Linked DNA regions of Schizosaccharomyces pombe. The gene in region 1 interacts genetically with each later gene. Each region holds a gene or a part of one and is shown in the gene's direction. Other genes may lie near its edges.

What was found.
Region 2: of met17 (region 1) and cys11, changing one enhances a phenotype caused by changing the other (phenotypic enhancement), as found in Schizosaccharomyces pombe (one study listed by BioGRID).

The regions. Positions count from the first base shown.
Region 1 is NC_003423.3:463,530-467,978, forward strand, and holds met17 (homocysteine synthase Met17), read left to right. Parts: upstream 1-1,850; 5' UTR 1,851-2,103; coding exon 2,104-3,393; 3' UTR 3,394-3,718; downstream 3,719-4,449. Other genes in the region: SPOM_SPBC428.10 (uncharacterized protein), read left to right, coding at 1-32. UniProt on the Schizosaccharomyces pombe protein: Catalyzes the conversion of O-acetyl-L-homoserine (OAH) into homocysteine in the methionine biosynthesis pathway. Can also use O-succinyl-L-homoserine and L-homoserine as substrates.
Region 2 is NC_003423.3:845,646-849,985, forward strand, and holds cys11 (cysteine synthase), read left to right. Parts: upstream 1-2,274; 5' UTR 2,275-2,339; coding exon 2,340-2,472; intron 2,473-2,617; coding exon 2,618-3,540; 3' UTR 3,541-3,840; downstream 3,841-4,340. Other genes in the region: class 1 histone deacetylase Clr6, read right to left, coding at 3,864-3,943, 3,995-4,053, 4,101-4,209, 4,250-4,340.

The DNA.
Region 1 (4,449 bases):
GCTCTCCTTCTTGGAGGGATGGCTTACTTTGAAAACTGGGACATCGCAATAGTGGTTAAAATTGTGTTGTGCCTAGTTTACTTTTAAGTTATTCAATGACATACCAATAATTGAGAAGAAATGATGGTATGCTCAGTATTTATTTTCCATATCCCCTCTTATATTTATACAACTTTGCACTGTCAAAGACGTTATGAAAGAAATTCGATCCTTGGTAATGGGAAAGGAAATTTAGCTATCATTTACAATTATATATCTAAAAGGTCCTCATGTGTATCGGAATTTACATTCATTTACGTGTCTATCTTGAACGCTAATACACCGCTGCTTAAGCTGAAGAAAATGATACCCTGGTTTTTTGTACCAAGTTGTCTCCGTAAATATTTGATTTCGGCAATTTGGATATTTATTATTCCTTTCATGGATTGTTGTCTTTGCTAAACTTAACTTATTTATAATAATTATATTTGATTATATACTATATACAATCGTAAGTGAAGGTGATTTTAGCGAATGTAACCATGAAATTGTTAAAGCACATGGATTTTTTTTTAAAGAAATGTAGAAATTTTATACAGTAGTTGCAACGTAAAGTTGTGATTATAATAGCCTTTGATGATTAATGATTTTTATAATGATTGGTAATGAGATATCTAATTGTACTAAAATACAGTATATATAAGATTTAAATTAAATGATAATCAACTAGCTCACATGGTCCAGTGGTTAAGACTCATCGTTGTGGCCGATGCGACCCAGGTTCGATTCCTGGTGTGGGCAGATCTTACAATAATTTTTTCACTCATTATACGAGAATTCTATTTTATTTATACTCAATGAACATTATATTTTTTAATAAAAAAAGTTTTTCAAAAAGTGAAATTGAGCCAATCCATTGTACATTGAAGAATCAAACAGAAATGTGTCATATTACAACTGGTGTCACTGCAATTTCTTTTTAATTTAGCTATAAAATTTACAATTAATTCAAACAACTGTCTACGGCCATACCTAGGCGAAAACACCAGTTCCCGTCCGATCACTGCAGTTAAGCGTCTGAGGGCCTCGTTAGTACTATGGTTGGAGACAACATGGGAATCCGGGGTGCTGTAGGCTTCCATTTTTTTATTCGTGAAAAAACAATTTAATTACTTGCTTTATTTATTTACACTTCTTTATTTTTCTTCGTTTATTGCACGGTTATCTTCATTGTAGCGAATTCTAACCACTTACTAGCAAAGAAGATGAAGAACAGAACTTTGTATATTTATTACTTTATGCATTGTTTAACACAAAAACGCAGAATACCGCACTGTTTGCAATTTAGCTTTAAAGAAGTTAAAAAGTTGTTTTAAATTTGATATTTTGCAATATGCTATTGTTTGTTATCGCTATGCATTACTGGATCCGAATGCATGTAGAGTGCATTGCTAGTATTGTATGCTATTCTCTTCTAGTGCACGACACTGTAATTCCCCATACTTTACAGCTCAGCACAATTGTACGAAAAGTGGTTTCAGTAAACTACGTTAATTACGATACTGCAGCTAATACGGCACCTTAACTTTCGCAATCAGCACGGGCGATCCTGAAGGATGATCTTCCCTCTTCTCCATGTCGGCGTTATGAAAAGATCTGCAATAAAAAATTTTGTTCGGTTTTGACTATTTTAGGTAAAAAACAAGTCTTCGTGCAAATCATTGGCAACAGAGATCTGATGTGATTAAGTACAATTGTGCCGGAAGTAGCACGACAAATTTTATTGCGATGGTGAAATTCCGAGCAGAAATTTCCTAATCCTTCTTCGCTGTGTTTCCTATAAAATGAGCGGTATCGGCACTTAGTTTTTCGACTGCTAAGAGCTTGAAAGCAAGGAAAAATAATTTATAAGCGCTAGTGTATCAGTTTGCATTTCACTTGTATTAGCTTTTGAAATTTTTTTGAGTTTCGACTCGTCTTTTTTTTTTTTCCTTTTTTTTTTGTCATTTTCTCTTTTAAATTGCTGCTTTTGGTTTTTTGAAATTGATCTTTGTTGCAAACTGTTAAATATCTTTTACTAGCACTTTAAACTCATCATCAAAATAAAGATCATTCACATTCAACATGCCAGTCGAGAGTGAACATTTCGAAACTTTACAATTACATGCTGGCCAAGAGCCTGATGCTGCTACCAGCTCTCGTGCCGTTCCCATCTACGCTACTACTTCCTATGTTTTCCGTGATTGCGACCATGGCGGCCGCTTGTTCGGATTACAGGAACCAGGTTACATCTACTCGCGTATGATGAATCCCACCGCCGACGTTTTTGAGAAACGTATTGCCGCCTTGGAGCATGGCGCTGCTGCAATCGCTACTAGTTCCGGTACTTCCGCTCTCTTCATGGCTTTGACCACGTTGGCTAAGGCCGGTGATAACATTGTCTCCACTTCTTACCTTTATGGTGGTACTTACAACCTCTTCAAGGTTACCCTGCCTAGATTGGGAATTACTACCAAGTTTGTCAATGGTGATGATCCTAATGATCTTGCAGCTCAGATTGATGAAAACACAAAGGCTGTTTACGTTGAGTCCATCGGCAATCCCATGTACAACGTTCCCGATTTTGAGCGTATCGCTGAGGTTGCTCATGCCGCTGGTGTGCCTTTAATGGTCGATAACACTTTTGGCGGCGGTGGTTATTTGGTTCGTCCCATTGACCACGGTGCCGATATCGTTACCCACTCTGCCACTAAGTGGATCGGTGGTCATGGCACTACTATTGGCGGTGTGATTGTTGATAGTGGTAAGTTTGACTGGAAGAAGAACAGCAAGCGTTTCCCTGAATTCAACGAGCCTCATCCCGGTTACCATGGCATGGTCTTTACTGAAACTTTTGGTAACTTGGCATATGCTTTTGCTTGCCGTACTCAAACTCTCCGTGATGTTGGTGGCAATGCCAATCCATTCGGTGTCTTTTTGCTTCTTCAAGGTCTTGAAACGCTTTCTCTTCGTATGGAGCGTCACGTTCAAAATGCATTTGCTCTTGCAAAATATTTGGAAAAGCACCCCAAGGTTAACTGGGTTTCTTACCCTGGTCTTGAATCTCACGTCTCTCACAAACTTGCCAAGAAGTACTTGAAAAATGGTTACGGCGCCGTTCTCAGCTTTGGCGCTAAAGGTGGCCCTGATCAAAGTCGTAAGGTAGTCAATGCCTTAAAGCTTGCTAGTCAGTTGGCCAATGTTGGTGATGCCAAAACTTTGGTTATCGCTCCTGCCTATACCACTCATTTACAATTAACTGATGAGGAGCAAATTTCTGCCGGTGTCACTAAGGATCTTATTCGTGTGGCCGTCGGTATTGAGCACATCGATGATATTATCGCCGACTTTGCTCAAGCTTTGGAAGTTGCCTAAAAAGCCCTCATTGTATATCTTTTTATTTACCTGTAAAATACATAGTAATGTTTCACAAATATCGATTGAGTTTTTGTATGTTTTCCCACATCTGCTCAAAATATTTCTCTCTTTTATCCATTATAATACTTTTAATGTGTTCTCTTCAACAGAAAGCTAGATATATTTATCATACCCGACTTTACATTTCACACTTCAGTTTACGCTATGAAATAAATCATTTTTCGGTTTGATCTCTTGGTAATTTAGATTCAGATTCACAAGTAATAAACAATGACTATTTATAACACTTGTGCACTACTAATGGCTAACAGGTCTATAAAACAAGGAAAGCGTAACATATTATATAACAAAATTTACGTTATCTTGATCTCTGCCTAGCAAAAGATTACTGAATGCTTTTAGCTCCTTATTTCGGTAAGCACATTATTACTATTAGCAGAAATTCACTGGTGCTTTCATTAATAAAAAATACACAAAATCATATAAAATTAATTTTACAAAAAATAAAAAACCACCAAATTGCTAAAGACATACATTGTAAACATATGAGTTATTGCAATAAGTTGGTTTCCAAATATTCCCAAAACTCTTAACGAGAGTTGGAGCGGTCAGGGTAATAGTTTTCAACTAGCAATAACGCCATCTAGGAAAAGTTCCTCACTGATAAGCGTAATACCCGTGCACAAAGATGGGGAATGGTAAACTCTTGTACATCCATTTATAGTAAAATTGAGCAGTCACAACAGGTCACAAAACCCTACCCTATTACTTTAACATAACGTTACGGAATATACGGGCTTAAATTCCCTTAGTGCACTATGAAATGATATTTTGAGTATGAGAGTTTTAAAGCGCAAAGGGGAAGATTTGCAAAACTGATATATGTATAGGTATGTATATTCATTCAATAACTATGAATTCTTGGATAATAAAGAAATCAATGCTAAAGTAATGTTGAAGCGTCAATCGTAAATACCAAGCCTTGCTTTCCAAAAAGGCTTAAATGCATAGCAATTCCATTAACAAAAGATGAATGGGTGTCGGTTCGAAATG
Region 2 (4,340 bases), 380 kb from region 1:
TCTGGTGGCAGTCTTTCCACTTATACCTGTGAATTAAGATGTTGTTGGTTGTTCATTAAATCTGCATTGGGAGTCTATTTCGGAATGCGAAAAGATTCTTTTTATGCAGTTTCGGATCTAAAATGGAAAATATAGATAAAACAAGGATGCGCTAAAGATCGTTACACTATTACCTTATTATGATGCAACACTCGAATGCGCTTTTGGATCGCATTCCGCCATGCAACATAGTGGGTTATCTCTTTAATGGATGCCGGAAAGTAAACAAAAAAAAAAGAATCGAAGGAAGAGAGAGGTATGAATAATAGAAGTGCTTTCTCAAACAGTTGTTTTGCAAAAGAAAGAAAGAAAATCTCTGTTTTTTTTTTTGTGGGGAGTGGAAAGTAAAAGGTTATCCTGTTTATCATTTTGCTAATTTTTGTTTTGCGTTTCATTTTGTTTATCGTTTTGATTATTTATTCATTATATTTTTATTTTTATTTTTTCTTTCCGTCTATTTTGATATTAATGGCTAATAACCCTTGTTTATCCTTATTTTCTTTACTTTTCCCGTTAATATAGATTCTTTTTTCTCTCTAGACAAAATAACACACCCGTCTTATAAGGGCTACATATTCAAGTTTGTGTTTTCAGCATGCGAGCTGGGATGCGAATCGGTTTTAATTGTAACATGACTACCTGTATTTATATATTGTAACTGGAGGTAAAATAAACATTAATACTTACGTATGCCATGGCTTGCTTTTGCCAGCCCAGTTCGGTTTTTGTATCCAAAAAGCTCGGTTTTGCCGGGGAAAGGGATGGTACGGAAAGTGTTGCTGATGATGTTAAGCGGGTGAATATTGCTAAAAAGAAGTAATAAATAATAGTGTGTTGAAGTAACTGAAATAAAAAAGGATTGGAGCAGTTAAACTAGCTAAACATTTTCATCTCTTTCTCTAATTCATTTATTCCTTCTTGTGTAAATTTATTATTTATTTTTTGCAACTCTTATATTGCACTAGATTTCATTCGAGTTCGTAAAGTTAGAATTACAAATACACAAAAACGCAAAGGTGTAAGCTACGCAGTTTGGTATCTGATTTAAGGATACGTAGAACTGCGGTGAGTTTTCCTTGTGGTCTATTTATATTACAATACACAGGTTGTATAAGTAGCAACTGAGTATAGGTATTGTATTAACTGGGTTATAATGTTACCTATCACTAATATAGCTCATAACTGAACCTCGTTCCTCAGTTCAGTGGTAGCTCTATTTATAGTATTCAGATAATATAGATCTTAATAGATTATCATCAAGATTAATCTCCATATCGTATCATACATGGTACGATATATAATTAGAACATATGACATATAGTGATACGCAACGTAGTGTATCATAGCGTAGTGTAGTATTGCTGACAAAAGGCAATAAATTACGAGATATAGCGGATAATTTTTTTTCATCTGTGAATTTCGCTATTATAAGTTTTCATTATGAAATCAAAAGATCATGACAACAACACTTGTCATATAACAAACAATTTTTAAAAAATAATAGTTTTATAATATACAAATAAACGCTTTCAATAGTTATTCCGTAAAAAATTTATTGGAAACCTCCAATGTTCTCTTACTTTGCTTTCTTTATACGCAACGACAATCAAGGAGTTACTGAAATGTGATTTTCTTGTTAATAGACTAGAAATCAATCAAACAGCAAGCGTTCAAACGAGTAGCCATTGTGTCGATATAGTCGAACATAGCCGTACAATTTTTAATATTAGTAGGAATAAAATGCTTGAGGAAAAAAATTTGACAACGCAATAGAAAAAAAAAAAAAAATAAAAAAATAAAAAAAAGTAAAAAAATAAAAAAAAGTAAAAAAAAAAAAAATAATAAAAAAAATTAAAAGAGTAAAAATTAATAAACGTAAAAATAAAATAAATAAAAATTAACCAATTAATAAATATTATAAACGTAAAAACCTTTCTCAAATAATAACCCTTATAATACGCTATTCATTCTATGTCCTTTTCACCTCCATCCCCATCTTTGCATTCCTCGTTACAATTACTTAAACACATTTAACAATATCACATCCGTACATCCCATTAAAGACATTGATAAAGAATTTTAACAATGGACGCCTTATCGTACGACTTTCTGTAGTTTTAAATTCTTCATTAAAGTAAAGAATTGCGAATTCCACTATTTGCCGGTGTTTGAATTCCGCGTGACGATCGCGTCATCTTCTTCATAAATATCACCTATCCTACTACAGTGCTCTTTGCCTTCGCCCAAGTGTTTAGAGGAAATTACTGTGATATACAGTAATTCGCAGTTAGTACTACAACATGGCTACTAGCGGTATTCAAACGAAGGTTCCAGGAATCGTTAGCGGATTCATTGGGGCAATTGGTCGTACTCCTTTAATTAGACTGAATACGCTGTCGAACGAGACGGGATGCAATATCCTTGCCAAAGCTGGTATGTTTTTGATATAGGGCGTTGTTTAATGGGTCTCGTTTTGCTAAACAATTTTGAAACGTCGAGGTTTCTCAATTGAATGGCAATCCTATACCTTTATTTCTTTTTAATTGCTTTCATGTATACTAATTGCAAATTTTTTAAGAATTCCAAAATCCCGGAGGAAGCGTCAAGGATAGAGCTGCTTACTACGTGGTACGCGATGCCGAGAAAAAAGGAAAACTCTCTAGAGGTGGCACAATTGTCGAGGGGACTGCCGGTAACACTGGTATTGGTCTTGCTCACATTGCTAGAGCAAGAGGTTATAAATGCGTGATTTACATGCCAAATACCCAATCTCAAGCTAAAATCGATACCCTTAAGTTTTTGGGTGCCGAGGTTCATCCCGTACCTGTTGCTCCCTTTTCCAACCCTCTCAATTATAACCATCAGGCCCGTCGTCACGCTGAGTCTACTCCGAATGCTTCTTGGACTGATCAGTTCGATAACGTCGCTAACTTACTGTCTCACTACGAAACCACTGGTCCTGAAATTTGGGATCAAACCAAAGGTACCGTTGACGGCTTTACCTGCTCTACTGGTACTGGTGGTACTTTTGCCGGCGTTACCAAGTATTTGAAGGAGAAGTCCGACGGTCGTGTTGCTTCTTTCGTGGCTGATCCCCCTGGAAGTGTTTTGTATAGCCATATCAAAACGAAGGGTAAGCATCCTGACAACAAGGGTTCTTCATTTACCGAAGGCATTGGTCAAGGTCGTATTACTGGAAATGTCCAACCTGTTTACGATCTCATTGACGATGCTATGAAAATCCCTGACGAAAAATCTATTAACATGTTCTTTCGTTTGTTAGACCAAGAAGGTCTTTTCTTGGGCGGCTCTTCTTGCTTAAATGTGGTCGCTGCTGTTGAAATGGCTAAAATATTAGGTCCTGGCAAGACGGTGGTTACAATTCTTTGTGATTCTGGTCACAAGTATGCCACTCGTTTATTCAGTCGCTCATTCCTTGAAAGTAAAAAATTATTTGATGTAATTGAGCCACAATACAAGAAGTATATTGTACTTCCTTAATTGTTTTGACCTTTTACTTCGGATAGACATATAATTACTACTACCTTGTGATTTCCGTTTCTTCTTTCTTTGTGCGTTAATTTTTTGGCTATTCCTTTTTTTTTAAAACCACAAGTCACATCTAGAGTATAGAATATAAAGTGTTTGTTATTATATGTAATGAGCATTTTCAATTTAATGCTGAAGTCTAATTATGCTGGAGAATTCTTATAAATAAGGGTATTTAAACATAATAGCTTTTATAGTATTCATGATTCAAATAACACAAAAAAACCGAGTATAATGGATTCAAACACCATGAACATACAAAATTTTATATAGGTCTATACGCGCTCATCCATAATCTCTTCTTTCGCAATGTTCTGCTTTTCGGCATTTTCAAACGTAAAGTCACCGGGAGTTTCTAATGTAAGAGTATTTGTTAGCACATTTTTCGATAACCGCTTATACTTACTATGCATTTGAACGCTAGGTGCAAAAGATAAGTTTCTCAAATTTTCGATGATTTCAGAGCTAAATTTGGTCAGCCTCGTAAGAATAAAACTCAAAAGGTAGCATACGTTATCGAATCAAGATACTGCCGAGTGTTATGGTTTTCCATATTGTTTGAAAGAACATTGAGCTTGTAATCGGGACCGTAATATTGTAAATAGTCATTATAAGGAAGGTCTTGGATGGGTTAATAAACAATTTACGTATTGGTACTTACTTTCATCAAGCTCTTCGCCGGCTAAAAGACCAGTTTCATAAGTCCAGACACGGGCAACATTCCGTACAGTATATCCACCTCCTCCAACGCA